Diceros bicornis minor: one gene and its partners. The protein of the gene in region 4 purifies or fractionates together with the protein of the main gene of each other region. This does not show direct contact. Links are inferred from orthologs where the notes say so. Each region holds a gene or a part of one and is shown on either strand. Other genes may lie near its edges.

Region 1 (7,062 bases), on a different chromosome or scaffold from region 4:
TTTCTAATCTCTCACTCCAGGCCACGGTCCTCTCTGCACTTTTTTAAACTGTCTTCCCTTCCATCAAACTATCCATTCTTCCCACCCATTCTTCTGGCACTCCCAGAGTCTCCACATTTTCCCATCAACCTGTCCTATTTGGTTCCCAGGATACTTCTGCGTGGATCAAATTCCACGTGTTAAAGCTGAGCCAACTTTGGCCACGGAGTGCAAACACACGAAAAAGGAACAAAATGTAAAGCATATCTAGGAAACGTCGCTGCCTCCCCCCTAAACATATATACATATCTCCAGCCACAACAAAAACAGGAAAAATCCACCAAACTTCCAACAGAGGAAACCTATAACCACCCCCGACCAGACCCAGCGCCTCCCCAAAGCCACTGCCTAGACATAAAAATCTTGGTTCTAGAGGCTCCATTTCTAACTTAAGATAGGAAGGATATTTTTAAAATCATCTACTCACCAGTTGGTTTGAGAAAATCCATCGGGTATCTGGAGTAAGGAGGAGGGGGAGACTCTGGAATTAAAAAAGTAAGAGAAAATAAAGGCCGGGCCATGAGAAAGAGAGATAGAAACTTATGATAACAGAGGCATTCTTTTAGCCCAACTGTTTGTCTTAGCTGTGGGGGTTGGAGGCAGGGCCGCGAGGCGGTGATTGCCTTGATATTTAGCTGTCAGATAAACAAAAGAGGCCGCCTGGCGCCAGCCTCGGCGCTCCGCTCCTCCACGTCTGCGGCCGCAGCCGCCGCGCTCCACCGGCCCGGCTGGAAACCACCGGCTCGGCCGCGGCCGCGCACTTCACAGTTCACAAGGCGGGGGTCTACATAGCCCCCTCCCCGTCCCCGAACTTCAGCCTCGCTCCCACTGTCCACCGCCCAGGCCCGCCCCCCAGGGGCGCAATTCACCTCCGCCCCCGCCGCTGCGCTCCGCGCCCGCGCGGGGAACGCGGGGCTCCCCTTACCCAGCCCACCCGGGAGGCGCGCCCCAAGAGCGCTGGTGAACGTAGGAGGGTCTGTGGGCGCCCAGGATGCACCCGCGCCCCCATCCCCCCGCAGAGACGTTGAGAAAAGGGAAGCAATGGAGGCAGCTGGAAGGATAAAGAGGAGGAGGCTGGGGTCTTGGCGGCGAAGCCCAGGCCCCAGCGCATTAAGAGGCAGCAACGTCACGGAGGCGCTGGGGGCAGACCTACAGTCTATACAGTTCCATAGTCTGCGCTTTCCTGTGCTGAAAGAAAGGAAAAAGCAGGGGACACGCAACTTCTCCTGACTGCTTGTTCTTTTCCACCCTGAGCTGGCAGAGTTGAGAGTAGATATCCAGTTTGGCCTCCCTCCCTCCCTCACCCTCTTTGCCCCAAAACCCCAAAGCTGCGCATCCAGGGCAGTATCCGGGCCACTTGTGCACGACGTGACTCTCCTTATTTACTAAAGGAGCAGAGGCTCTCCAGCCTTTACGATTCGCTTCTCCCAGCCTTCCTTGGCGGGCTTGGACCGAATCCAACTCGGCCACACACCTCAACGCCTTTCCGGGCGCGGGGGAGGCGTGACCCCCAGTTCTCTCTGCACCCCGAACTGATCCGGAAATGAGAGCGTCTCATTTTTAGCCACACGTCTGTAGAGTGTGTGCACGAGCAGTGCCCATAAGCCCCCCTCGGAGCAACCGAGGAGAAAAAAACTGGAAGGGAACCCCCCAGGGAATGCCCTTCCAGTTTCCCCTTGTTCCTTCTCTACTTTGGTCGCCCAAGTCTCCTCCCAGGAGGGAATGTACACTCCCCTCCAGAGAGGTGGCTGCACAAACACAGCCCGCAGGGGCTTTTCTTCCACCGCTTGAGCGCCAGGGGGAGGGGAAGGTGGGCACAGAACAACTTCTTACCTAGTTCGCAGAGTCGGCTAAGGTGATGGGGGTTGCAGCACACCAGCTCGGGGTTGATCTTCCCGTAAGATTCACAGCAACACAGCCTCTTGACTTCCGAGGAATGCCTGAGATCCGGCCACCTGAACACTTTGCACAGCAGGAGAGGGAGCGAGTAGGACGAGGGCGGCTGCGCGGGCTGCGAGCCGGCGGGCGCCCCCAGGCCCAGCCTGCAATCCAGGCGGCCGGGCAGCAAGAGACACGCGGTGCGCGTACCGCCGCGGGACTCCACGGCCTGGAGCAGCAGCTCCAGCTGCCGTTCCTTCAGTTTCTTGAGCACCGAGTGCGTGAGTGCCTTCAGATCCGCCTCGGCGCCCCCGGCCGCGCCGGCGCCCGCGGCTGGGGGGTGGGGATGGTGGTGACCTTTGACACCTCGGACCGCCTTACCCAGGCAGCAGCCAGCCCTGCCCGCGCCGCCGCCACCGGCCCCATGCGCCCGGCCGTCCGTCGCCCCTTCTCCCCGCAGCTCGCCTCCTCCTCCGCCTCCCCCCGCACCCTCCTCCTCGTCCTCGCCGCCGGGCGCACGGCTCCTCCAGAGACGCCGGACGAGCGCAGATCGTTTGGTCCTGAACATGCGGGGCGAGGAGGCGAGGAGAAAAGTCGTTTGCCGGCTAAGGAGCGAACATGACCTCCGCACACCATGAAGAAGTCGGGCGCCGAGTTGGGGCAGCAGGCGCAGGCGACAGCAGCAGCAGCAGGGGCCTGGGCAGGAGCGGCGACGGCCCGAGGGGCGCTCCGTGGCATGCGCCAGTCTCCCGGAGGCCGGGGCGAGCGCGGGGGCCCGGGGGCGCCCGCCGGGGCTCGGGGGCCTGCGCTCCGGCTGCCCCACCCCGCGCGGCCCGCGCCGTGCGCGGCTCTCGGGCCCCGGCGCACCCCGGAGGAACGCGGCCGCCGCTTCCCTGGGGAGGACGAAGCCTGCCCGGGTCGGCGCCTCCCCAAAAAGAGGCCCCCCCGCAGCGGCTCCCGAGTGTCGGGCTCGCCAGCCTCAGCTTCCTACATGGAAGATCCGCGGGGGGCAAAAAACGAAAGGCGTTCGGCTGGGCTGCTGGAGGGAGGAAAAAGCCTCTTTCCCCCTTGCTAAGCAACTTAATTTGGGGGTGGGGAGAAGCAGGCAATTAAAAAAAAAAAGCAGGCACGCGATTTATTTTTTTCCTCTATATCCTTAGTAACCGGATCTCCTCGAATTCCGTGCACACGAAGACTCGGGGGAGGGGGCCGAGTGGACTTCACCCCGCATGAGATGTCTGGCGAAATAAGGAGGCTCTCTCAAAATCTAAGAACCCAATATGCAAAGCCAATGAAAAACACCACCTCCTCGCACCCCGGAGGTCTGGGGGCGTCCGGCTGGAGCTGGGGTTTAAAAAAAGAAAATCTTTACAAAGTAGAACGAGACGTTTGAGGGGTGGAAAAAGCGTATCCACGAGTTACATCCCCCTTTTTTCCTTGCAGAGCCCCGCGGGTCTTCCTCTCCTTTTCTTCTGCCAAAAGAAAAAAATCGTATATTTTTTTAATCCACAGAAAGCTTTGGCTAGGCTGCTTCAATCCTCCGCATCTGGGTGTTTTAAGGGAGTCTCTGGTCTTTCCTCCTGCGCTCCCGGGGGCCCCAGTCCTCGGAGGGGACTTCCTCGGGGCTGGCGGGGGCGCAGAGGCAGAAGATGCTGCTGCGGCGGCGGCGGCGGCTGCGCCCGGTGGGGCTGACAGCGCGGGGGAGGGCGGCGCGGCGGCGGGCCCCTGGCGGGTCGCGCGCTCTCGCCCTCCTAGGCGCAAGCTGCTCGCTAGTGCGGGGGCCGCCGGCGCCCCCTCCCCTGGCCGCGGCTGGCCGCCGGGGCTCCCCGTGTGGGCTGCTCGCCCCGACCCGGCTGCGGCGGCAGGAGGCCCCGGTGTCCTCACGCTGCCTCCTCCTCTGAGACTCTCCTCGTCGCGCCCGGGAGCCTCCTTGTCCCCCGTCCGCCCTCTCCTGGCGCTCGGGTCCTTCTGCCGCCGCCGGGGGCTCGCCGCGCCGCACTCAGGGGCTCCGGGGCCGGGAGCTCGGCAGCTCGGCGCCGGCGGGCTGGCTCTGTCTCCCGCAGCTCTCTCCGGCGCAGCGAGCGGACCGAGCACGGCGCCCGGCTGGCTCGGCTGGCGCGGCTCGGGGACAAGCTCCTCCGTGCGCCGAGCGAGCGAGCGAGCGAGTGTGCCCGGGGCTCGCCGCCTCCCGCAAGGCCTCCCGCCCCCGCCCCCTTCCCTCCCCCTTCTTCCCCCTTCCCTCCCCCGCCCCCAGCCGCCGCCGCCGCCTCTTCCCCGCCCCCCGCCCCCCCCCCCCCCGCCCCCGGCCCTCTGCTCTGCTGGTTCCACTGCGCAGTGGCGCGCCCGGCTCCGGCCTCGTCACGTGGCCGTCTAGACACCCTGTCGCTTTAAAAAAAAAAAAAAGCGATTGTGTTTCGCAAACAACAGATCGGGTTTCTAAAAGCTATTTCTCCCCCCGCCCCCCCGCCTCCGCCACCCCCTCCCGGGCCTGCAGAGGGGGGACCAACGACGGGGGGGCGAATAAAGGTGGGGAGCAGAGAAGCTCCCAGAATCGACTGAGACCTGGCCGGATCAGAGGAGAAATGGGAAGACCCGAGAGCACCGAGCGGGCTTCGCTGGCGAGTTTTGGAGCGGAACGAGCGGGTCGGTGGCCCAATTTAGACCCAGCCGCGGAGCTTCGCCGCGGCCGTCCCGCGCGCGCTCGCCCTAAGCGCTTCATTCATTCGTTCCGTTTTAAGGGCCCTGGCGGCGGATCCCCTGGCCGCGCAGGAGGGAAGGGGGAGGAGAGCGCTGTCTCCGTCTAAAAGACATTTACACCGGACTGGACCGAGGCCCTGGGAAGTGTGCGCTGGAGGGAACAGCCGGGCCGCCGAGGGCGGGGAGGCGGCGCGAATGTGACCTCAGCGGCGGCCGCGCGCTCCCTCCCGCCCTCTCCCGCTCCGGGCTCGGGTTTCTAGGACTGCCTGGAGAAGTGTGTCTTGTGTACAGCTCTGGAATGCATTTGGCTGGCTGACGAGCTGCGAGGGGCAGCATCCTGGCGGGAGAAGTCGGGGGGGGGGGCGGAGTTGCCCGCCCGCCGCGGGCAGGTTTCCTCCGGAGCCCGGAAGACCTCCGCCACCCCGCCTCCCAGCGCGGGAAGGTTACCTTCGGAGCCGACCTGCCTAGGGCATGCATATGCATGCGGGGCCTGCTTCTGCGCCCTCCACGGTCTCGTAGCTTTCAAGGTGCTTAGGGTCAGAGAGTTTATCCCTTAACCCCGGGTTCGGGAGAAGCATAGACCCAGCTGGCAGATTACTGCATGAAAATGGGTGAGGATTGGTAGGGCAAAGGACGAGAACGCGTTTACTTGGTGAAAGCTGATGGTACTGAGAAACATAATGACTTACATATATATGCATCAGTACTAAGGAGGCCACTAGTTGGCATGGTGATCTAACCTCACTTATTCAGTGACATAAGATTTTTTTTAAAGTCGTTTAGAATTGTGAGATCAGGACAATGAAACTCATTGGGGATTTTAATAAATCTTTAGAAAAGACGAAATGTACTATTTTCATTTTCCCAGCTAAATTATACTTTCTTAAAAGGAAAAGGCACAGGGACTGCCAGGTGGGGTTTGCTGGTTCGGATCCTGGGGGGCGCACCAACGCACCACTTGTCAAGTGGTCATGCTGTGGCGGCGTCCCCATATAAAGTGGAGGAAGATGGGCATGGATGTTAGCCCAGGGCCAGTCTTCCTCAGCAAAAAGAGGAGGCTCAGCAGATGTTCGCTCAGGGCCCATCTTCCTCACAAAAAAAAAAAAAAAAAAGGAAAAGGCACAGATGAATCTTAGCTTTATAGCTCAGCCCCCTACCTTCCAGCAACTTAAAAGGAGTCTGACATGCAATAGATGCTTAATAAATATTTAGGAATCAACAGAGTTGGATAGGACTTAAAGGAACATTTGGACCACTCCCCCTCCCCCAACCCACCAAAAGCACCTTTGAAGACATAAATGTGAGAGAAAAACAAGAGACATTGGTTACATGATCATCTTCAGGCAAGGGAGCCCTGAAGTTTATTGACCTAGAAGACACTGCAACGCCAAGCAGTGCAGAGAGGTGTGTAGGACAGGGCATTCTAAACATTTACTTTGTAAGGCCACATAGGCTGCAATTGTATAAGATCATAATTTGGTTATAAGTAAAAATGCTGCTTATCAAGAAGGACATTGAAACCTTGTGTGTCTGTGTGAAACTTTCTAAAGATGCAGCCTGCAAAGACCGCAGCTGAGGAGCCCAGGGGAAAATGGAGGAGGGAGGTTTGGACCCGGGTGAGCCCATCATCCTTGGCAGGGAAAAGCAGAAGAGATAGAATGAGATTTTTGAGGTGTGTGGGAAATGTATAACATACTCCCCTTAGAAAGGCTTAGAAAAAATACCAGACTAGAAGTCAGAAAACCTGATTCCGGGCTGGGGCTCTGCCACTCATGGGTTAAATAACTTGTACTAGTGGTGACCCTCACCACTAGTTGAGCACTTGGCAGGGTTTAAAAGCTTTCTGGGCAAAATTTCCTGCCCTCTCGGGGTCCCCTTCCCTCTCTCTACTCTGGGCCTCACTAGAAGATCTTCAATTTTCAAGAGAGGCTAGGCCAGGCTGCAAAGTGACAGGAAGGACTTAAATAAACAGATTAAGCAAATGTCATAATTCTAATTAAGCTTCTTGGCTAAATGAAGAATCTGGAGACTTGGAAATCTGGCCAGTGGTGCTAACACTCTGTGATGAGAGGACAGAGCACGCACAGGGCAGGTAGGTTCAGTAGGTGTTTCAGGAGTTGAATCTGACGTCACAGCTTGTCTGGGTGGAACATGCATATACTTGCACAGATATGCTCCCATATAGTGTAATTGTGGGTATTTTAATTCAGGCGTCACCCCTATGTTGCCCTCTACACACGGTTTTCCTCCTCCATTTTACTACCCTAGGTAGACGATGGGTGGGATGCTGGGCAAGTAGCTACAATGGTTGGTGCTGCTTTATGGCTCCTTGGCATCCCCTGAATCAGTTCACATCCCAAGCCTTCCTGAAAGCCAGCGCCACGCCATCGCATTCTTATTTCTTTCCCTTCCAAGAAAGAAGCTGGGCGGTAAAGGAACTCCCGGCTG
Region 2 (7,704 bases), on a different chromosome or scaffold from region 4:
ACTACTATATTTTATTTAACCCAATATATCCAAAATATTACCATTTCAATATGTCATCAATATAAAAAATAAGATATTTTGCCTTCTTTTTTCCCATATTAAGTCTTCAAAATCCAACATGCATTTTATACTTGCAGCACATCACTAGCCATTTTTCAAGAGCACGATAGCCATATGTATTAGACTTCTCTAGATTCTAGAAGTGCTGCCCCTGGGTTGTAGGATCCAAGCTATAGGCCGGGTTGCAGGTGAGACTCAGTTCTGGAGAAGAACACAGGCAGGAGCAAGGCAGACAATCAAAGGTGTTTGGGGACGTGCTTAGGACAGACCTGAAGAGGAAAAGGTGTTCCAAGTGGAGACAAGTGAATGCAAGGGACTGGAACCCACTTAAACTTGCTTAAGTAAGGGGTGAGGTGGTTATTCTGCACAGTGAGATCCCTTGGAAATGAACTGTGAGAAGTCACACCTGGGCCAGGAGTACTGGCAGGAAATCTGTGAGACAATCACTTTCTTTGTTTCTCTCTTTAGGGTTATGAAGCCTCTTATCTCCACTTCTCTCTATTTTGTTAGTCTCTTTCTACACACTCATTTCCTCTCTCTCTCTCTCTTTTTTTTTTTTTTGTGAGGAAGATTGGCCCTGGGCTAACGTTCGTGCCTATCTTCCGCTACTTTATATGAGACGCTGCCACGGCATGGCTTGACAAGCGGTGAGTTGGTCCGTACCCCGGATCCGAACCTGTGAACCCCGGGCTGCCGAAGCAGAGCACGTGAACTTAACCGCTATGCTACCAGGCCGGCCCTCATTTCCTCTTTTTTTAATGTACTGGAACCTTAAAATGGCTTCCTCAGCTGCTAACACTATGACCTCTCAACCCAGCTCCCCACCGCTAACAGCCTCCCAGTATCTCTGTCACATATTCCAAGGAGAGAGACTCTGATTGGCCTCTTGATCAGCCACCCACCTTTGGCTCAGTTAGTTGAGGCCACGCTCACCTAACACAAATAAGGCCACCCAGGCTCATCCTTGATGTAAGGCAGTGGTTCTCAAAGTGGGTTCTCCCCACCAGCAGCATTAGAAATGCAAATTCATGGGCCCCACCCCACCCTGTTGAATCAGTATCTCTGGGGAGGGGGCCTAGGACACTATGTTACAACAGTAGGTGAGGGCAGATTCCCTCAGAAGGAGATGCAAGTAGGGACTACCATCTTAGTACACCAGGGTAGAGGCGGAGAAGGCAAGAGCCAAGGCGAATGGCACCAGGGAGCCCAGATCTGGAGAGACACAGGTCCCTGATGTGCCCTCAGCTTCCATCACCAGGGACGAGGTCTGCTGGGAGGGGGTCAGGGAAGGCGTCACAGAGAGCAGCTTGTAATGCAACCTAATCCTAAACCATGTCAGGACAGGATGGCACATGAGGGTTTTCAGTGAACCTAACTAAGGACCTGGGACAGGCAGAGGCAGAGAGGAAATGAGTGAAGATGGGGGAGGGAAGGAGGGTCAGGTTGACAACAGCAAGTACAGGGGGGGGCTGTGCTTGGCTGCTTCATCAGTTGTAAGCTGAATAGAGGAAGCTAGAAGTAGATATTAAATTAAATTAAATTCATGACATTTTAAACATTAAAGAAAGTTGAATTTTAAGCAGTGGTAGAAACTGCTGAGTGCCTGACGTTTGCTTTTTCCATGGCACATAAACTGTATTAAATCTGAAATTTACACTACAAAAATAGCTTCACAGGAGTACCATTATTAACATAACCTTACCTCAGACAGATTTTTTATTACTGGAGACAACTCTTCTATGTAAAAAATATATTAATGGCTGGAGCAGAAGAAAAAAACCAACTACAGATGGTAAGCATTTTCTTGCAACGTCACATCAGATTTAATATTAGCCTTGGAAAATAGAAACAAGTTTTAAACAAAAAGTTTTAAATATTCTTATAACCATGTGTAGATTTTCACCTCTAGTCTAGGATACCATCATAAAGAGTGCAACTTACAGTGATTAAAAAACATTAATGGAAAAGTTTAAAACTTTTGCTCAAAAATGTTATTTAATGAGTGGTTGTTAGCATTTTCATTGGAAGGTTCTTTTAAGTGGCATTTATGGAAAAAGACATATTTTATTGGTATGAAATAGGTGGAGTTAGTATATTTGAGACAGATGCCTAAAACAATGATTTGATAAAAGGTGCACAATTCTACCAAGAGCAAATTAGAAGTCATAAGGGAATAAAAAGCCTTTGAAAAGATTTTCTGCAATTCCCATACCCATTAGAGACATGTATAGGTACAATTTACCTTGGAAGTGGATTTCTATTTTAGGAAGAAAGAAAAGGGTGAATTCCCTAAGAATTGTTATTCCTCCCTCTTTTTCTCAAAAATTATGTCTAGAAGTGTTGCCATGATGAAGCAATGCTATACATCCAATGCTGAAATTTAATCTAATGAAAGTTTAGCTCTCCTTAACAGTATGAATGTTTTAAAGTATTATTCTTATCTGAATCTTTTATTTTAAACAATAAGATTTAAACATACACAGGCAAGCTTAAACAGAGTCCTCCCCTGCATATTAAGTACGTATACATTTTTCTGCACCATCACTTACATATCTGAATGTAGTGCTTTAAACTTCACAACAGGCAATCTCTCCAGCTTCCCCACACATTCTGAAATCCTAACTTTATTATCTAATACAAAGCTACCAATTATGTTAGTGGGTGGTTGGGAACAAAGGGCGTGCCATAACAATAAGGCAAATGTATACGTATATATCAATTTGCTAAGTTTTATTGCCATTACCCATCCAGTGTTTTAAGTTGTGATAGCAGCTACTGTTCAAATTGATTAGTGTATCTTCAGGGCTTCTGTAGTACAAAGAAGCATTTCTAAAGGACCTGGGTCACTGCTTTACACATGGGAGGCACTCAGTATTTGTTGAATGAATTTCTAGCACCATCCCCTGAATTTCTAGTCTAACTTCTAGCACTTTATATAATTTTTGGATCATTTTAATTGTAGAGCTGTATCCAGACTGACGGGATGCTCTTGGAGGTCACTTCATCTGGAGAATGAAGTGACATTACTGATGAATTAAAAGTAATGATTGATACTGAATTAGGATTAAAATATATTAGACTTTATTAAACATTTAAAATTGCATTAACAGCCTTAAGCAAAACTAACAGTACACAAAAAATCGCCTATGCTGTTACCCTTAGTTTTCATTGTGCTAGATACTTTTGCATGCATACATATAACTCTTCAATCTGCTTTTAAACTTCATTTGTAAACTCTTCCATATTATATGGTCTTCATAATTGCCATTTAAATGGCTGCATAAAAATCCATGCCAGGGGCCAGCCCCACGGGCCTCACTCCCCCTTCCCGTGCGTAGTGGTTAGGTTGCACCAGCTCTGCTTCCGCAGCGCAGGTTCGGTTCCCAGGTGCTGACGGTACAACACTCCCCCGGGCCATGCAGCGGCAGCGACCCACATACAAAATAGAGGTAGACTGGCACCATGTTATTAGCTCAGGGCGAATCTTCCTCAAGCAAAAAGAGGAAGATTGGCAACAGATGTTAGCTCAGAGCTAATCTTCCTCAGCAAAAAATAAATAAATAAAAATAACTCATGCTAATATAATATAATTCGCCATTAGACTGTTTGCTCATTCCTCCTTTTGTTATTTAACTGAACTTTGCAAAGAATATCTTCTGTATTACTGTACGTCAAGAATAAATTCCTAAGAGTGCAATTACAGGGTCAAAGAGTAAAGTACAGTTATTTTTATTTCATTTTCTGTTTTTTCCCCCTGAGATAAGGAAATACAGTACTGTATGAAAAGCTTTTCATACATTGCTCTCCAAGGTTTATCTTGTTCATAATCCTTTAAGGCATTATTATCATCCTCCTCTCCTTGTGCTACAGCTGGAAAAAGAGCCCGAGCAGGCAGGTAACCTGATCTCGCTCACCAGGTGAGTCCTGGATGGAGGTGGCAACTACGATACCAGGAGCAAAACACCCCTGGGGATTTGCTGGAATCCTCGGTGTGGGAACACCGTCTCTTCCCTCACCTCAGCGACGCTCAATTCCCTGAAGGCAGCGGACTCGGCTCTAACCTTGCCCGCCCCAGCCTCTCAGAGTGCCCTGCACGCAGTGGGCGTCTAAAAAATGCAGTCCGTGTTGCACGGACAAACGCTCTCCCTTAAGTGGGCTGGACACCAAGCCCCTCCTGGTGCCACAGAGCTCCGCGCCGCCACTTTGTTCCTTGGCCCGCTCCCTCCTAGACTCCTGCGTGGGACCCTCTGCTGCAGCCCACGCCCGTCCTGCCCGCCGGAGGCCAAGCGGAGCCCGGGCCTCGCGCCCCCGCGCCCCGGGCACCCTGCGCGCGCCCGCCCAGGCCCCGCCCGCCGGCCCCGCCCCGCCCCGCCGGCCCCGCCTCCCGTCTCCTCCCCGCCCCCCGGAGCCGACGAGTGGCGGCGGCGGCGGCCCCAGGACCCGGTTCGCTCAGACAAGAGGGCGGGTGGAGGAGGAAGCGGCCGAGCCCGGAGTCCTGCTGCGGCGCCGCCGAACACCGCCCGCCTCAGCCGACCAGCCCCGTCGGCTCCTGGGTCTCGCCGAGCCGAGAGGAGGGGAAGGCGGAGGCGGCTGCGTGGAGGCGGCGCGGGCGCGGGCGGAGGCGGTGCGGCCGGCCGCGGCTGCCGCTTTGTTGTGCGGCCCGGGCCGAGGAAGGAGAAGTGGGAGGAGGGGGGAGCTCGGCGTCCCGCTCCCTCCGCGGCTCATGGCGACGACGCTCGGCACATCCGGGACCCTCCTGCCGTGGCGGCCGCGGCGCCGGCTGCTCGGGCCCCAGCCCCGGCAGCTGTGGTGACTCCGCCGCGCCTCGCCGTCGCCCCCGCCCCGCCCGCCGGCCCCGGGCCCCGGGCCCCGCGCCGCCGCCGCCGCCCCCGCCGCCGGGGAAATGTCTAACCCGGGGGGCCGGAGGAACGGGCCCGTCAAGCTGCGCCTGACAGGTGAGGGGGGGCGGGCGGGCGGCGGGGTCCGGGCCGGGGCAGCCGCGGGGTGGGCGAGCCGGCGGGGGGTGTCGGTGGCCTTGGGAAGGGCCAGGGTCGCGATCAATGGTGAGTTGGGGGTCGGGGACGTGGGAAGGCCTAGTTCAGGGAGAGTAATGGCAAAACCACTCTCCCTTGTTTGGAAATTCGTAAAAAAGCCCAGGGTGACTCTGGGGTCTTTTGTTGAGGGGAGGGATCCCCCGGTTGGAATTCCGGGCGGATATGAGGTCGAAAAGCCTTGGCCGGGGAGCACGACTCTGTCCCGGGGCCTCGGGGAGCAGCCCCTGGGCTCCTGCCCAGGTGGGGTGGTCGAGGGGATGAGGAACTCCTGTGGCGGGGATTATTGAATCCGGTTGCCGACTGCGCGCAGTAAACACTCCTTAAAGATGGAGCGCTTAACGGGAGGGTGTGTGTGTGTGTGTTCCCTGGTTGGTAACTTGTTCGCCCACTTATGCCCGCGTGTAGAGCCTTCACTCTCTGCTGCCAGCCGCGGCAGCCGCCGCCACACACCTGAAACGCACGTCGTTGGGAGGGAAGGAGACTGAGGTTGACTTTTCCGGTGTGTCTGCCTGATCCGACGACTCGGGCTCTTTGTACACTCTGTGTTTTGGAAGTGTTTGATTGTAGGGTAACATGTAGAACAACATGGGTTGTTCCTTGTAGGCCGCAGAACTTGTGTCTCACTTCTAACTCTAGACCTGCTTTAAGAACACACTTTTTTTGGGTACATTTCTCAGTATGTGCTCATACAAACTTTCAAGCGAAATCGCTCTTTCCCCACTCTCCTCCCCTTCCCTTTTCTAAATGGAAAAGAATGTCTGGAGGGGTTGCTAGATAGAAGGCTTCTCTTGCAAAGTGTTTATGATTCCAAGTACGTTGAATCTTTAACATTACAGGTACGTTTTGCTTACGCTGCCATTTTTGGTATTCTTACATGGTCGCATTACCCCATTTTAGGAAAAAATTATTTTTCGTTTGAGAAGTGTAATTGAAATCAGTGTAGTTATCCTAGTTTCACCATTCAGTGTTAATAAATTATCCATGTTGATATTCGGATGTGTGGTGAGAAAGATGGTTTTCATAAGAGGATCTGTGTGTGTGTGGGTGCGCGTGTAAGAATAAACTATAATTATGTTTGCCTATACTAGACTTTAAGATTTATATGGACTAATTTTGTAATTGAATGCTTGTGTGTCACATCCTGGTCCGCTGGCTGAACTTGGAGATAAAAACTTGCAGCGAAGTTGGTATTTGAGAATTTAGCTTGACTGTATGTTGGCTGCAATTTAAAAAATATATTACTTTCACGACAGTTTTACTTTCCCTAGGGAAAATGGCAAAGAATCATTAACTGAGTGGTTCTTAATGGAAAACCTGGATTGGGGGATGCCTGTCTCCCCTATTTCCCCCAGTTTCCTTATTTTCTTATAAATCAATGAAAACCTTTATAAGGGATCTTTGTTGCTTTAGAGTTTATCTACTGCTGTTCCTCTCTGGAGTCAGTCCTGTGTCAGTGATCATGGAAAGAACCTGTGAGTCCAGGTGTGCAAAAAGCATCAGAAATAGGATGTTGGCCATGTACTTCCTTCTAGCCTATTCACATAATGAGAAAATGAAGGAAAAAACAGGGATTTTGATTTTCTGCAGATAAAATGAGTTTGAGATTTTTAATGTGACTCAATAGATCTTAAAGTGTTTATCTGTAATTTTCTTACTGCATATGATACATTATAAAAATTCATGAGTAAAGTTAGAAAAGATTACACTTATTTTTAGGGGGGAGAGGAAACACGACTAAATTTATAGAGTGATTTGGTATTTTTAGATTTTTCTGAGGAATTTTAAACACACTGTGTCCCCTTAATTGTAAAAACAGTTTGAGGTACTCTTAATTTCTTAAAACCATTGGGAATTTGTCTCTGACATATTTTAAGAGAAAACTATTTAAATATTAAAAACATTGCCCTCTCCCTTTTGGTTACATATGGTGGATTCTCTTCTGTTTTGCCAGGAAAACTAACATATATTTTTTCATTTTTGTTCATTTACAAATTAGATGGTATAGATTTTAACAAATAGATCTCAAGAGCTGGATTCAATTAGCAGCTTTTTAGGACATAAACATTAAAGGGTTAGATGGAAAAGATTGTTTTGACTGACTGGATAAATGACAGGGCTGTGTTTGATGTGTGTCCAGGAATTGGTCTGGAGCCGGTGCCCAACTTTTCAGTCCATCTTGAGAAGCCAAATAAAATATTTAACCTAGGCCTCATTTTGTTTTTAAAAAAAAAAAAAGCTGATTCTTTGTTAAGACCTTAAGAAATGTTTGGCATACCTTTAGACTAAGTGTTTAACAGTTCATTTAGATCCGGGTTCTATAATAGAGGAAAATCACTGAAAAAAAGGCAGATCCCACAGTGAATTTCTATTTGGTTTACAATACACTTGGGCTGTAAGATGCTTTAAAATTATTGTTCTTTGCTTTATGTTAATACCGTACTAGTATTTTAAATTTATAGAGTGCTTTTGATTCCATGGTGCTTTATGAACTATCGTTACTCAATTATATCTTTAATGTAGAGGTGCCCCTTTACTGAAAGGTGTAAACAATTCTTGTGTGATGACACACACACGCTCATACTCACACATA
Region 3 (7,867 bases), on a different chromosome or scaffold from region 4:
CTGGAGTGGAGTGAGCAAGGGGGAGAAGGGCAGAAGGCGAGGTCGGAGAGGGGACGGGGGAGCCTCGCTGGCCATTTGAGGGGCTCTGGCTTTCATGCTGAGTGAGAAGGTTGCCTGGGAAGGGCGCTGAGCAGAGGAGGGATGGAACTTGACGTGGGTTAACACGGGCTCCCTTCACGGGGGTGCAGGGTGGGCTGGGACAGGGGCGGAGCGAGAGCAAGCTCAGTGAGGAGGCGACGGCAATGTACCAGGAGGTGCTGGTGCCTTGGATCAGGGCGCTGGCTGTAGGGTGGGGGGAACCCCACAAACACTGGGAATCTGGGGGAGCAGCTGCCAGAATTTGCTTGCGGGTCGGATGAGGGGTGTAAGAGAAAGAGGCAAGGTCGACCTCAAGGCTGGAGCAACAAGCAGAGGGCGCTGTCACAGTCTGCGATGCAGAGACTGAGGCAGGAGCAGCCGGGAGAGAACAAGCAGAGCCCAGTTTGGGGCGCGTTGAGGTCTGAGATGCTTGTTAGACATCCGGGAGCCTGGAACCCGGGGGAGAGTTCCAGCTGGAGATGTAAAGTTGGGAGCCATCGGTATATAGACGGTATTTAAAGCTGTTTGTCTGGATGAGGGCACCCAGAACAGTGCTTTTCAAATTCTAATGTGCACAAGAATGCCCTGGGATCTGATAAAATGCGGGTTCTGATTCAGCAGGTCTGGGGCAGGGCCTGAGAGAGGTCCTCCTTGGAGCAGCAAGGATCTAGGGCATTCCGTTTTACGGCCAAGACCCATTGGTGGGTAACGAAATCAACAGGTCAATCACTGGCTTGTGATCAGTATTTGAAAGAAAACGAAGAGGATGGATGCACATCATAGGGCATATACAGGTTCACAAAACGTTTGTTTCAATTATTTGAACCTGAGTCCCAGTGTTTGTGCTGAGGAAGGACATCACGGTCACTCAGGTTTGAGAAAACCTGACTTGGGAGTGACTGAGGGTAAACAGAGAAGGGAAGAGGCCCAGGGACCAAGCGTGGGAGGATGAAGAGGAACCATGAGGAGGCAGATAAGGCGACCAGAGAGGTGGGAGGCAACCCAGGACGAAATGTTCTGGAAGCCAAGGGCGATAAGACAGGCCCAGATTTGAATTATCCTCTGCTTCTCCCCAGCCGTGTTATCGTGCACACCTGAGCCTCAGTTTCCTCCACTGTAAAATGGCGACATGAGTCTTGGCCCGTTAAGGTGGCTGTGAGGTGACACTTGGCACAAGGCTGGGCGAGCATGTGGATGGTGGAGAGATTCCGATCCTTGCCCTGGGCTTGGAGATCCTCCAGGTAAGCAGGCTGCCCTCCCATTGCACAGATGGAGAAATAGACCCAGAATATGGAAAGGTCTTGCCAGAGGCCACCAGGGGCAGAGCCTGGGCACCCTGACTCCCAATTCAGCGCCCCCTTTCCTCTGCACCCACTTTCTGCCTTGTCCCTGTGGGTCTGGCCCTGCTGTCCTCAATAGCCCCTGGCTCTAGGCCGGTGCTGGAGACGGACAGCCGCCTGGGGGGGTCCCTGGGGGCCGCCTAAAATTCCTTCAGTGGCCAGCGGCCAGGGTAGACGTGCTCCATCCCTTCCTGCAACCCTGGCCTTCCCGGCCAGCCAGGAGGAGGAAGGAGCAGAATTCGTGCACCTGCGCACTGCGAGGTCCAGGCACAGGGGCCTGGCTATCAGCCATGTGTCTCTTTGGCGTGTGGATAGGCGGCACCTGAAAACATCTGCATCAGTCAGAGCCCCGGCAGGAAACAGATGGCACGCTCCAATAGGATAATTTGAGGAGAGTGTAATGAAGGGTCTGTTTACACAGGTGCAGGCAGGGTGAGGGGAAAGCACAGGGGGCAGCCAGGACCCCAGCGCAGCATGGGCCATGACCACCCTCGGCCTGAAGGGCTGTGTGGAGAGTGCCCGGTCAGGGCTGCGGCCTGCACTGGAGGGAGGCCGCCAATTTGCAGTGACCCTTCAGGAAAGGAGCCAGAGGGATGGATCCTCCTCCTCCTTCCTCTCTCTGATCTGTGCAGGGGTGAGCGAGTGGGAGGAGGTAGATGTGTCCATCAGGGTGGAGAGTACATTCAGGGGACAGACAGAAGACAGCTAACCCAAGGGCTGGCCCTGGCTGTGAGACCGTATGACCATCAGGCTTCCTGGGAGGCAGGCGACCCAGTCCAGGGACTGGCCTCTTCCTCTGCGGAAGAGGAGCAAGACCTACTTCTGTGTGCCTCAGTTTCCCTATACCTCTACAGCCCCTGCCCTGCCTTACCTTCCAGGGCACTTCATGCTTTCAATAAATAGATCTCAAGAACCAATGGGTCCTGGGCTGTGTGCTAGGGAAAGGGGACACAGGCTGGGGGGTTGGGGAGGCCCAGGGCGCTGTGGGAGCCGCGGGGCGGCCTCCTCTCCACCCCTGGGGGTCCCAGTCCCTCCCTTCCTCCATGCGCTTTCCCAGGTCGTGACTCCAGGCCCTCCGGGGCTGTCTGTAGGGTTTTTCTCCCTGCAGGTTTCCTACAAGTTCTTCCTTGCATCCACCTGCAGACTCTCCTGCTTTCTAGAGAACCCAGAGGTCTTGTTTATAACGTGGGCGGGGATGGATTCTGCAGTATGGAGGGAAGTAGGAGGGAGGGAAGTTTGGGAAGAGCCTCCAAGGGGGTCCCTGTCACTGCCGCGGATGCCCCGACACCCACTGTGGACAACAACCTCCCTCACCCCACGACACCCACAGCCCCAGTGACATCTGTCGTCTCCACATTCAGCTCAGGCGGTGGCGGCAGGGAAGGAGGTGAGCTTGGAGCCAGGCAGCCCTGGGGTCTCCACTCTCCGGCTGGGGGTCACTTAAATTTCAGGCAGCCGTGGGTCCCTCCTCCGTAAGCGTTAATGGCCCGGCCTCCAGGAGTGGCTGTGAGGATTCAGAGCTGATAAGGTGAACGCCTAGGGTGGGGCCTGGTGCAGGGCGAGTTCAGGCCCTGGGGCCGGATTAACTGTCCGTGGGGCACAGAGCCTGGTCAGGGACCTGGGGAAACCTCACAGCCACCCCGCTATCCCCCACCAAAGCCATCGTTTGCCCCTTGGTGCTCACCTCCCCATCTCTGCGCCTACAGAAAAAGGCAGAGGAGCTGGGGGCCTGGGGGTGGCCACCTCCGCCCCATCACAGCCTTCCCGGCCTGTTGGGCATGGATGGGTCTCCCGTGACCCCACACCCATGCCTGGCCGGGAAGTGTCCGGCAGCTGCAGGGCTGGATGAGCAGCGAACCTTCTCCCAATCCCCACCCAAGGAGCCACACCCGCCCTTCCCGCCCTGATGTCCGCTCCTGGAGAGACAAACACACTTCTGCTCTGCTCCCTCTGGAGGCAGCCAGGGCTCCTGCCTTCTCCTTCCTCCCTGGGCCTCGATTTCTCCATCTGTGAGCCAGGAAAAGTATAAAGAGGAAGACCCCTGGCTCCATGCCCTCTGCAAGTCCTGCCGGCACACTCCAAGATTTGTCTTCTCAAAGCCCAGCTCTGCCAGCACCTTCTGCTCCAGAACCCTCCATGACATCCTGTGGCCTTTAGGATAAAGTCCTGGCATTCGAGACCCCTCAGCCAGCATCTGCCTTTCTAGGCGTCCTGTCCCTACCAAGCCCCTGCTTGTCCCACAGGGGTCCGACCACTTCCTGCCTCTGTGCCTCTGCTGGGGCTGGTCCCCGTGCCTGACATGCCCTCCTCACCCCTTTTTCTCCACCCACCAACTTGTCTGGTGTTTCACAGGCCAGGCCTAAATGCCACCTCCTCCAGACAGCTCAGGCTTCCTCCTCTGAGCTCCCTGGGGCCTGATGCTAGGTGCTACCCGTGACTCGCACCATGGTGAGCACATAATTGGCACTTACTATATGCAGAATGAACAAGTGACAGTTCTGGGGTTGTCTCCCAGGCTCAGGGAGCACTGATGGGGAAGCACTTCCTAGGTGCCAGGCCCAGAACTCAGCACTGTGGTACCCTGTCCCCTGGAAATCTCACAACAGCCTGGCGAGCAAGGCACCATGCGCCCACTTCACAAACAGGGTGACTGAGTGTTGAGGGGACTTGCTAAAGGCCTCAGCTCAGAGCAAGCAGGGTTTTGAACCTGGGGCCATCTGACATCAGAGAAGCCATTAGATTGTGTCCCCCTTTTGTTTGGGGCTTTCTTTTGTCCCTGAAGGACTTTGCACCCATGGAGAGGGCAGACATGGAGTGTGTGGCCCTGGGCAGGTCCCCTGTCCTCATGGGCCTGAGGCCTCAGCCCCAGCTGCCATGCTGACCCAATTTGAGAGTGTTCCTTTGCTATTCTGGGCCTCAGTTTCTCTGCCTGCAAAACCTGGAATGACAGCCCTGTGTCGTGCTGTGTAAGCCAGCTTTGGCGCCCGACGAGACCTGTTCAAATCCCAGCTCCACCGTCTCCTTGGGCCCCTTATCTCACCTCATCAGGACTCTGTTTCCTCATCTGCAAAATGGGAACACTGAGTTCATGGGGCTGTGAGTTCCACGTGAACTGCCTGGGCCAGGGCCTGGCCCCTGAAAGGTCCCCCTGGTGGGCTGTTAGGGTGATTGTTGTCATCCGCCCCCTGGGGGCTGCCGGATGCACCCCACCAGCCGGCCCTGGGGAGGGTGGGATGGGAGGATGGGCTGCGTGGGGAGACAAGCCGAGAGCTTGGACCCTCCCACCCCACTGCCTCCCCCCGCCCCAGGGCCCCCCACCCAGCGACAAAGCCCATGGCACTTCCTCTCTCCGCCTGGCAGGCCGCCTGGCCCGGCCCCTTCTCTAAGGAAGCGCATTTCCTGCCTCCCCGGGCCTGGCTGGATGAGCCGGGAGCTCCCCGCTGCTGCCGGTCATACCCCAGCCTCCATCCACATCCACAGGCCGGGCTGCCGCTGCCGCCGCCGTCCACAGGAGCCCAGCACCCGCTCCCGGCTCATCTCCCGGCCCGCGCCCCCCGGCCTGGCCCTGCGCCCCCGTGCCCACTTCTCCTGACCCCTCGGCCGCCACCTCAGAAGGCTGGAGCAGGGACGCCGTCGCTCCGGCCGCCTGCTCCCCTTGGGTCCCCGCGCGAGCCCACGCCAGCCCCCGCGCCCGCCCGCAGCCCTGCCCCTGGACACCGGATAAGGCCCAGCGCACAGACCCCCGGGTGGACAGCATGGACCGCGGCACGCTCCCCCCGGTCGTTGCCCTGCTGCTGGCCGTCTGCAGCCTCAGCCCCACAAGTAGGTGTCCAGGGACCCGGGGTGGGGAGACCGGCCCCCAGAGCAGAGACCAGGCCTCCTCCCTGTGTCCTGAGCCCGTGCCCTGTGGAACTGTCCTGGGGGGTTTGGACGGCACAAGGTGGATGTCAGGGTGACCAACCATCCTGGTTTGTCAGGCCAAAGAACTTTCAGTGCTAAAAGTCTCAGGCAAACAGGGATGAGCTATTATCTTAAACCTGGCCTCTGGCCTCCCGGCTGTGTCCAGTTCCTCGCCAGGAAGCCCAGGTCCCAGAGTGCTGTGCAGCCCCGGGAGAGTCCCCTGCCCTCTCTGGGCCTGGAGTTTCCCATCTGAGGAACGTGTGGGAAGAAGGGCCCAGGGTCTTGAGTTCAGAGGGTGGCGAGCTCTGGGTTCAACTCTCACGTCATTACTTCCTCATGGTGTGATCTTCGGGGACAGCCTTCGGGCCTCTGAGCTAAGCGGGAATGATAACAGAACTTCCCTCGGGGCTGTTGTGAAGGTTCGTGGTGAGTCAGTAAGGCAATGCTTGTAGAGAGAGCTCTCGGGCAGGCTGGTTGTTTCTGTGATGTTATTGTTGTTGCTTTGTGACTAGCTTTCAATTCCGCCAACCTCACCTTCCCAGAACCTGTGAGCGGCTCCCAGATCCCTTTTAAACACAGCACTCTCCCCTTGGGCTCTACTCCCTTCTCTACTCCCCGGGAGGCCTGCAGGATGGGGCCGCAGGCCCAGACTAGGGGTTCTGTGGGGGCTCCTCAGCCTGGGGGCTTTTCCAGGCCGTCATGGTCTCTGCTGCCTTCTGAAATGACCAGATGAGGGGCCCGTGAGGAGCCAGGGACTCCCCACGGGCCCCTCATCACACTCACTGGGGCCCCGCTGTGCCCTGCCACTCATCCACCAAAAGCCACAGGACGGCCCTGTGGACACCCCTTCACCCATGCTGCAGGAGTGTTCCCATACAGCAGCAGCAGTGGGCACCCCTCCCTGCCTTACCCCACCCCGCAGCATTTTAAAGTCCCTAAGCCTTGGTCTCTAAAGTCTTATCACTGCCTCACTGAAAGACAGGAAGTGGGTCTCAGACATTAAGTGACCTTGCAGGGATTTGACCCCAGGCCTGTGGCTCCCAGAACACTTGCTCCTAACCACATGTGCTGCGGCAGCCCCTCTCCATACAGCTCAGGATAATCCTGCAAGATGGCTGCTATCACCCCATTTTACAGGAGAGGAAGTGGAGGCTGTGACCTGCCAGGTTCACACGGCTCAGACAAGCCCTACCTGAGCTCCACCACAGGCCTCCAGGCTGCCCTGCCTTTCTCCTGCCTCCTCCACATTTCTAGCTTGATAACGCTCTCTTCCTCTTGGTCCTCAGAGAAACCCTCATGCAGATCTTTAGGGTCTGGTTTTATAGGATCAAAGGCAGGGGTGTGCTGGCAGATCATTAACAAGAGGGGTGGGGGGTAGGGTTTGCCAATTTCCGTGGTGTAAATGTTTCCACTCTGCTGATTTCAGGCTACCAATCGCCAAACTCAGAGTCGGGACGCGGTGCAGGGTAGTCTACCTTTATCTGGCATTTCCACCACGCAGATCCAACAGGCGTAGGTAACCTCAAGAGCGTAGATAATAGTAAAATGCAGTAAAATAATTAGGAAGTAATGAGTTTTAATATTTATTACCTTTTAAAAATATATAATTAAATTAATTTAATTTAAGCTTAAAAATTTAATTTTTTTTTTTTGTGAGGAAGATTAACTCTGTGCTAACATCTGCCAATCCTCCTCTTTTTGCTGAGGAAGACTGGCCCTGGGCTAACATCCGTGCTCATCTTCCTCTACTTTATATGGGATGCCACCACAGCGTGGCTTGCCAAGTGGCACGTCGGTGCGCGCCCGGGATCCAAACCGGCAAACCCCAGGCCATTGCAGCGGAGCGCGCGCACTTAACCGCTTGCACCACTGGGCCGGCCCCAAAAATTTGATTTTTAATAATGGCTGTATTTAACAGCCACTTGGAAAAACCCCTGAAAATTTATCAATCTGCTCCTGCGAGCAGGTACCAGCACCCCAGTGAGCATAGGGTTCAAGGGCATTCCAAACTATCCAGCCCAACTCATATACAGTTGGGGAAACTGAGGCCCGTGGAGGGCAGATGGGGGCCTGGGCCAGGGCGTGGAACGCAGATCTCCACGCAGGGGAGGGGGTGGAGTGACCCGGCATCCTCTTTCAGGCTGGAGGAGGTAAAATGGGTCTGAAATGGCCCCAAATGTGTCCAGCCCCCTGGGAACACAGCTTGGCAGAATCTCTCAAAACTGTAACTTGTGTAACAACTTGACCTTCAGAAGTCAGCCCTGTGGAGTTATTTGCCCAACTCCTTAAAGATGTGTGGTCTGTAGGTACCTGTAACAAAAATCCAACAACTGGAAACCACCCCAATGTCCATCAGCCTGGGCCCCATTAAATGATTTATTATGCAGTGGAATACTACGCAGCCATTACCAAGGAAAAGCTAGATCTATATCTACACTGCTGGGGACAGATGTCTGGGACACCCAGTTAGGTGCCCAAACAGCAATGATTCCACTTCAAGAATAAATAGTAATAACACACAATATACACAGAGAAAATCCCAATGTCAT
Region 4 (7,391 bases):
CATCGCCACGGGGTGCCACCTCAAAAAAAAGGCAATGAATCCAAAATGTGATGAGTATTTTGTGTAAACCATAAATAGGTATAAAAAGATGTTATTATAGGAAGTGGCCTAGAGGTGAAAATGTACTTTCTGGGAACAAGAGCAAAGAGACCAAATTCTGGGCCTAGTCTAGTCTCTGACTCTGACAAATCAAGCATATCTTTAACATGATTTTAAGAAAGAAGTTTATCCACATGACACTTTTACCAACGTTGAGTCATCAACAAGCATCTCTTGGTAGGTATTTGAAAAGCAAAAGTCACATTTTTCAGATCTGAAGAGTTTTCAGACATTGAAAGTTTTCCCCAAAAGAGTAATTACTTAATTTTGAGCATTTAGGAAGAGTGAATCTAAGTCAAAAACAAAACTTTAAAAAATTTTAAGTATATTTCTTAGTGAAGTTTGTTCTTAGACTGAGATCCTTTATCTGCTTGTCAATCTACTCCACAGAAGATGGATTTTTTTTTAGGTGACCTAATAGGAGGCTGTAAATAATCTCATTTCCTCATATCTTATCATGCATTAAGATATTTTGAAAAATGTTTTGACAGTGTACCAATTATGTTAGAAAAATTCTGAAACCATTTATTTACATGGAAAATTAAAATGCAATCATGGAATCAGGTTTCTCATCTTCATTATAGTTACCTTCAACTATCTTCAAAAATTTAATTTCAAATGAATACAAATTCAAATGATTCCTTAGTTCAACCATTTTGAAACTTTAATTCCACAAAACATAAAATTTGTGCATTTTGGAAAACTGTTTAAAAGCCCAAATAAAAAGCCCCTAAGCTTTTAAGTTAATTGTTTAAAAGTGTGTATGTAGATAAAATGAAACCGACTCATAAACTATTGAGTCTGGAATTTGCAAATCATAAATCTTATCCTTGTAAACAAAACCTAACAAAATCAGAGCCTGCTAATTTCCTTCTTTCGTAATCTGAAACAAAAGTTTTAGTGATTTTTAACATACACAGAAAATTGAGGGTGCCATTTAAAATATTTATTAGCAAAATATAACTCAATTTTTAAGAGTGTGGGGTATAATCAGAAGCAACTGAACATTCTAGTACTGCAGTATACAAAAACAGCCGAGAATGAAACACTGGGATTTGATTAAACAGTAGAACTCAAATTTATGTTAGGATTTTTTTGTTTACAATAAGTGCTTCTTCCTCATTCCATTAAAAACTCCCACCTCCATGGGACTTTGAATATAAAACATAATCTTAAAAAGTTCTCAATCCACTTCAAATACCCTGAAATGTACCATTTAGAACCTGGTGCATATTTTTTCTAGACAAACCTAAAGGAAAGCCTGTGCAGCCCTTGGTAAGTAAAAAGAGTGCCTCAGGGTGATGTGGACTGTCAAATCCAATACATTTCATCCCACATCCACACAGGGCATCTCCAAGTCACCAAAGGGGGAAGAGAGGGACATAAAATGATAAAGATGAAGGTAATGTAAAATTATCCAAATCTAACCGCGTCACTTTACAGATGAGCAAACTGAGGCCTGAGAAAGGTCCAAATACTCCGTTACCCACAGCCCAGCTGCAGATTCTCAATAATGTGGATCCTAGCTGCAAAAATTCTAACTCTTCAGGTCTCAGGGGTTCGATGCTTCTCATAACAAATCTTTAAGAACTCAATTCCTGCATTTTTCCCCCTCAAAAACCTCTAGAGATAGAGATCAGGTGGGCAGCGGATTTACGATTTTAACCCTTCCGTTTCCACCAAACGATTACTGCAGAGAACCGTCAACTCCCGGAAGGCAGGGTTGTCTTGCTCCAGGCACCATCTCCAGCACCTAGCACCCAGCACCCAGTAGGCACTCAGTAAACAACTCTCCGCCTTCCACCTGACAACCTCCACTCCCTACCCCATCCACGCCTAGCCGTCAGTGGAGCCGGATAACTTTCCTTTGGAAAGAGCTTCTTGTCTTGCAACTTTCCTACAGTAACTCCGGGCCAAGAAGCCGGCCTGGGGGAGTGTGTGGCCCTTCCCAGGGGCTAAGGATTGAGTAACTGGCCATTTAAGGGGGTGGCTCGGCCAGCCGGCGTGGGCACGCAGCATCGCCGCGGGGCGCGGTGGCCCAGGTGTGCCAGCTGCTCTGGCGGCCTCTGCGGCCGCCGCTCCGGGCCGCTGCTCCCCTGCCTCCTTCAGATAACCAACTTCTCAAACTTCCCTTTCCGGGGGTGGGGGCTCGCCTCGAACGCGGCCAACACAACGCCTTTCCTGCCCGCACAAAGGGGGCCAAACGTGCCCCGCGCCCCTTTCCACTTGAACTTTCCTTCTCTTTTTAAAGAAAAACTCACGTCCCTGCGGCCAAGGGAGTCGGGCTGCGTGGGTGCCGCGAGGGGAAACCGTCCCGTTTCCGCCCGAGCGCTGCGTTCCCGGGGCCGCCTGTCAAGCGCGGCGAAGGGGCGGGGAGCCCGGGAGACCCCCGGCGGCCCGCCAAGCCCCGGCTGGGGGCCACTCACCCGACTTCTGAACTTGCGGTGGGATCGTGCTGGCGATGCGCGTCCACAGGACGATGTGCAGCGGCCACAGGCCCCTGAGCAGCCCCCGACCCATGGCAGACCCCGCTGCTCGTCATAGACCGAGCCCCGAGCGCAGCGGACGGCGCCTTCCCGGACCCCTGGCTGCGCCTCCGCGCCGCGCCCTCTCGGGACCCCGCGCCGGGCCGGCCGGGCAGATGTGCGGGCCAGATGTGGCGCCGGCTTGCCAGCTGGGAGGGGGCCTGGAGGCCGGCGAGGCGCAGGGAGGCCCCCGGCGGCCGAGGGGAGCTGCGCAGGAGGCCGGCTCCTGCCCCGGGCGTGTGCGCGCGTGGGGGTGTCTTCGGTCGGTGCGCGCGAGTGACTCACTCAACTTCACCCGGGCGCTGCGGGGGAAACAGGAAACTCCTCGCCAACAGCTGGGCAGGACCTCTCGCCGCCGCAGAGCCTTCTCCCTCTGCTCGCTTCCAGCCCTCGCCCTCTCTCGTAGCTGCCAATCACGTCCCCTGGACCAGCCCCTCTGAGGGCTTTGGCAAACTTTCAGCTGCCCCTCACCGCTCTCAGGAGCTCCTCGCTCCAAGGATTTACTCCGGAGTGACTAAGTGCACACGTTTCAGAAAGTAACTGAACAGAGAAAGTGTATATCCTTTCCATAGCACCCCCACGAAGCATCTCCCCCGCCCCCAACCTTCTTGGGATTGTTCCTAGGTGCTTTAGAGTTGTATTTTCAAACTACAAGTCACGACCCGTGAGTGGATGCTGAAATCTAATGAGTTGTGAGCACATTTTTTCCCTAATAAAATAGTAAGAGTAAGGATTGCCTCAAACTTTTGTTTCGGTTATGTGTGCATACACTGTCACATTGTAAAAAGGTTTTCTTACTGTAGGTTGAAGTCCGGACGTTTTTTCTCAAACTTTCATGTGCATATTGATCATCTGAGAATCTTGTTAAAATGCGGATTCTGATTCAGTACATCTAGGATGCAGCATTTCTGATGAGCTCTTGGGTGGTGCCTCCCATTTTGACCTGCCTCTTCCTGGGGGTGATTAAGTGAGTAATTGTAAATGATCAGCCATTACAGAGTGATAATGGTGAGAAATCTTATCTTCAGAATGTATCAAGTACAGTAGAAAATGTAAAAATGAAAGTGGCCTGGGAGTCAGCTAAATACCAGTGTTTGCATTCCAGTAGTGCCCATGAAGAGAGAGAAAGCTTATCCTCTCCTCTGCTATAGGGGAAATAGTGGGAGGCGGACAGAATAAACTTTCAACTTTCTCTTCTTGCTAAGGTGACCAGGTTTGCCCAGAACTATACTGGTGTACATCTGTTTTGAAATTAATCATTATCCAACCAAGACACATTCTCTTTCCCATGTGTCTTGTTTGGATAATGAATTATATGCTCACCCTACTTCCAGCTCTCAAAGACTTAGATTCTGTATAGCCCTCTGGTCAGGAGATCATCCAGCAGTTTCCACAATGAACTCTCTTGTCTTATGAGACAAAGATTATTTGCAGAGGCAGGTGGCCAGATTTACTGGAAGTAAAGGCAAATAGCCCTCCCTGGAAACCCAACTTCCAAAATCTTCCCTGTCAATCTAAGAGTTCATCTGCTTGATCCTGGAACCTTAAGTCTTGTCACCATTGTTCCACCCAGCACTGAAACTGCCTCTGAATGTGTCTTTTAGGAAAATGCCACTTCCCAGCTCTTGTATTTCGGATGCAGGAAGGGCAGTGAATTCAGGAAGGCTGGGCATCTTCTTGCCCACCAGCAGGCTTGCCAAAGCTGGAAGCCACTTGAGCGATGGAGGAAAATTGAGTTCAAAATCTGCTTCTCCTATTTCCTCCACAGCCACCTGGCCCATGCCACTGCCTTCCCTGGCGCAGGAGTCTCCCAACCACTCATCCCCAGTCAGGGCCATTCTGGGCCCTTCCACACAATTTCTCAAATCAGAGCTAAAATAATTTTTCATAATGCAAACCTGATTATACCAACCCTCTGATTAAAATCATTCAATGGCTTCCAAGTGCTCTTGAGATAAAGGATAGAACCAGATCCTTTAACATGCCTTCAAACCGCCTCCTCTCTTATAACCTTCCCTTGGGCTTCTCCTCCTCTCCTGCTGAGAGCCTTCTCCAAATTCCTTGAACATGCCCCTGCATTCCTCCCACACAGAGCCTTCCCCAGGGTGCACTTCCTGTCCTCTGCCCTTCTTTCTTTTTCACCCAGCCAACTCTTGGTCTTCCTTGGGTAAATCATAGCTTCCTTGATGGGCAAGCTTTCCTTAACCTCTTGAGTAGATCTTTTATTGTAGCTTCTCCTGTCACCATATGACTCTCTTTTTTTAGCACTTACTACAGCAGTAGTTTTATAATTATTTGCGCCCTTCTTTAATTTCTATTCCCATCCCCCACTCAAGTCCATACATCTTGAGGACAGGGATTACGTCTCTCCCTCCACTCACTATTAAATCCCCAGCACCTAGCACATAATAGGGGTGTAATAACTATTTGTTGGATGAATGAACAAATGAGGTCATCAAGATTCAGAAGGAAATTGTACTTAACTGTCCTAGTTACTTCATAACTCTGAAGAAGGCATTCTATTACCTCATAAATTGAGATATAAACAGGCTAGATTTTAGCTGAGGGTGATGTCACTACTACTTCTTTTTCTTAAAAATGAAGAAGTGTGTGGGTTTCTTTTTCTTTTTTTTCTAAATTTGCCCAAATTCCTCTGGACAGCATACATATGCTTCCTTATTCCCCAAAATACATGGAGGCAAATAAATGCCCAATTGATTCCGAAGGCTTTCTCTTTTATATTTATTGCAAAGACAGATGTTTTACATTGTCAGAAGCCAGGTTTGAGGTATTTGATTCTGTGGTGGAATATTTAACTGGTGATCTTTGTCATCACATATCACTAACGTTGATTTTAATTTTGTTTGCCTTTAACATTTCTGATTTAATCTTCAATCTCCTGTGAAATTGAGCGTCTGAATTCAGCATTGCCAAGTGCAAACTCATCTTTTAGAAATCATCACAATGAAATCGTAGACGTGTGAACTCACACATGCTACAATTTGACAATATTAAAAATTTGTCAATCTGACCTTCCTTTTGAGAGTCTCATTGAAAGAGAAGTTTGACGCCCTTGATCAAGACATTGTTTTCACACATAATTGTATATTCACTTAATATAATTTTCTATGTTTTCACATAGGTAGTTAATAGCCGTATGTAAAAATTGGGCCATTTGCAGATGGAAACGAAAAATAAAAGCTTAACTCAGGACTTAAAAAAGAAGAAAGGTAATTTTTAAGCCCTTACCAAACTGAAAAACAACGAAAACCAACTTGATCCAAAGTTAAACAGCTTGACTATCTTCATTTTCCCAGTTTTGCAAACTCTGAACTCATACACGAAACAACTGGGCTGAATCAAAATGTGGTTACTTTAAGCCCTGCATTTCCCAGCTGTGATGAAGCAAGAACTTTCTACTCCCCCAAACTTTTTGACATGCAGCTGTTGAGGTTCCTGGCAACTACAGCAGTTGACAGGAAGATTCCTCTCCATGTAAACCAATCACTCTGCATTCTCAGCTCTTATCTCTTGACCAGTTTTCCTTTTATTGTGAAGCAAACCAACAAGCACTGAGACAATAGTGACTTTGTGAGGGTCGCTACTCTTTTAGGGTCATCCGTGATGCCAGCTCCTCCAGGAAACATTCTGTGATTCCTCCAGCCTAGTAAGATCTCTCTTCTCCCAGGGAGAACCCAAGGAGCATCATTTAATTTATTTAACCTATTTTTTTATGTTTGTCCTATTCTAATATGGAGTGCATTATAGCTATTCATTTAGTTTTTTTGGAATTCCACCCCACCAATTACAAAGTCCTTGAAAACACATTATTCCTTTTTTAACTTTGGACAACACCCTGTGCCCTACAGTACTCAATGTATGTTTCTTGTCTTCAATAGAGGGAAAAATGAGAATATCTATTTCCCTAAGAGTAATATATATTACTTTTATAAAAAAGTCTGAAACACAGATAAGCCAAAGGCAGAAAATAAAAAGGGTCTCTAACCTTATCAACCAAAGATAATCACTTGTTAACATTTGGGAGCATGTCCTTGCATTACTATTCTAATCTTCACATTACAGGTGAAGAAATTGAAGATTAGAGAGATTAAGTATTCAGCAAAGGTCACATACCTAGTAAGAGACAGAACCCAGGTTTGAGCTGAGGCCTGTTTAGCTCCAGAGTTGCTGTGGCAGCCCTAGCAAACCAACACACCCCATTTCCTGCCTGGTTGTTCAGCTGTTTCTTCTCAATATGTTTACAGGTGTTTTCTTCCCCTCATGGGTCAAATGCTAGTGTTTACCAATTCCGTCCTCTGTCCCTTTTCTCACTCTTCCTGGGGAACACATCTGTATCTACAGCTTACTGGCGCTTGATGATTTCCGAATCTAATTATCAAGCTCTAATTTCTCACCTAAGCTACAATTATTCCAGTTGCCTACTCGACTCTCTTCATAAATGTTTCGTTAGTATCACACACTCTTTATTCTAAAATGGGACTCTAAAATGTATTTTCCTTTGGCCCATTCCCTATATAAAGTAAAGACTCTGTCTTCAATGGGTAGCCAGAAACACAAAATTAGCTAAGAATTTGCCATTATTTTACCATCCAGAACTAACTAGGCATTGGGGTCTTTCTAAGTATCTCTTGAATCCATTTTCTTCTCATCCCCACCACTGACATTATTTTAGTTCTATCTCTTGTGATTTCACGTGGGATTACATCAATTTTGTCATCTTCTTGTCTCTGTAGTCTCACCCTATTT

What was found.
Region 1: the proteins of TGFBR2 (region 4) and SMAD7 purify together in Homo sapiens (affinity purification with western blotting; 3 studies listed by BioGRID). This does not show direct contact. The link is inferred for Diceros bicornis minor from reciprocal best matches to the Homo sapiens genes TGFBR2 and SMAD7.
Region 2: the proteins of TGFBR2 (region 4) and SMURF2 purify together in Homo sapiens (affinity purification with western blotting; 3 studies listed by BioGRID). This does not show direct contact. The link is inferred for Diceros bicornis minor from reciprocal best matches to the Homo sapiens genes TGFBR2 and SMURF2.
Region 3: the proteins of TGFBR2 (region 4) and ENG purify together in Homo sapiens (affinity purification with western blotting; 3 studies listed by BioGRID). This does not show direct contact. The link is inferred for Diceros bicornis minor from reciprocal best matches to the Homo sapiens genes TGFBR2 and ENG.

The regions. Positions count from the first base shown.
Region 1 is NC_080755.1:41,553,812-41,560,873, forward strand, and holds the start of SMAD7 (mothers against decapentaplegic homolog 7), read right to left. Parts: upstream 3,016-7,062; 5' UTR 2,486-3,015; coding exon 1,873-2,485; intron 521-1,872; coding exon 467-520; intron 1-466. UniProt on the Homo sapiens protein: Antagonist of signaling by TGF-beta (transforming growth factor) type 1 receptor superfamily members; has been shown to inhibit TGF-beta (Transforming growth factor) and activin signaling by associating with their receptors thus preventing SMAD2 access.
Region 2 is NC_080757.1:47,385,881-47,393,584, reverse strand, and holds the start of SMURF2 (E3 ubiquitin-protein ligase SMURF2), read left to right. Parts: upstream 1-4,697; 5' UTR 4,698-4,963; coding exon 4,964-5,015; intron 5,016-7,704. UniProt on the Homo sapiens protein: E3 ubiquitin-protein ligase which accepts ubiquitin from an E2 ubiquitin-conjugating enzyme in the form of a thioester and then directly transfers the ubiquitin to targeted substrates.
Region 3 is NC_080767.1:35,847,303-35,855,169, reverse strand, and holds the start of ENG (endoglin), read left to right. Parts: upstream 1-4,852; 5' UTR 4,853-5,173; coding exon 5,174-5,240; intron 5,241-7,867. UniProt on the Homo sapiens protein: Vascular endothelium glycoprotein that plays an important role in the regulation of angiogenesis. Required for normal structure and integrity of adult vasculature. Regulates the migration of vascular endothelial cells.
Region 4 is NC_080741.1:34,747,552-34,754,942, reverse strand, and holds the start of TGFBR2 (TGF-beta receptor type-2), read right to left. Parts: upstream 3,018-7,391; 5' UTR 2,620-3,017; coding exon 2,526-2,619; intron 1-2,525. UniProt on the Homo sapiens protein: Transmembrane serine/threonine kinase forming with the TGF-beta type I serine/threonine kinase receptor, TGFBR1, the non-promiscuous receptor for the TGF-beta cytokines TGFB1, TGFB2 and TGFB3.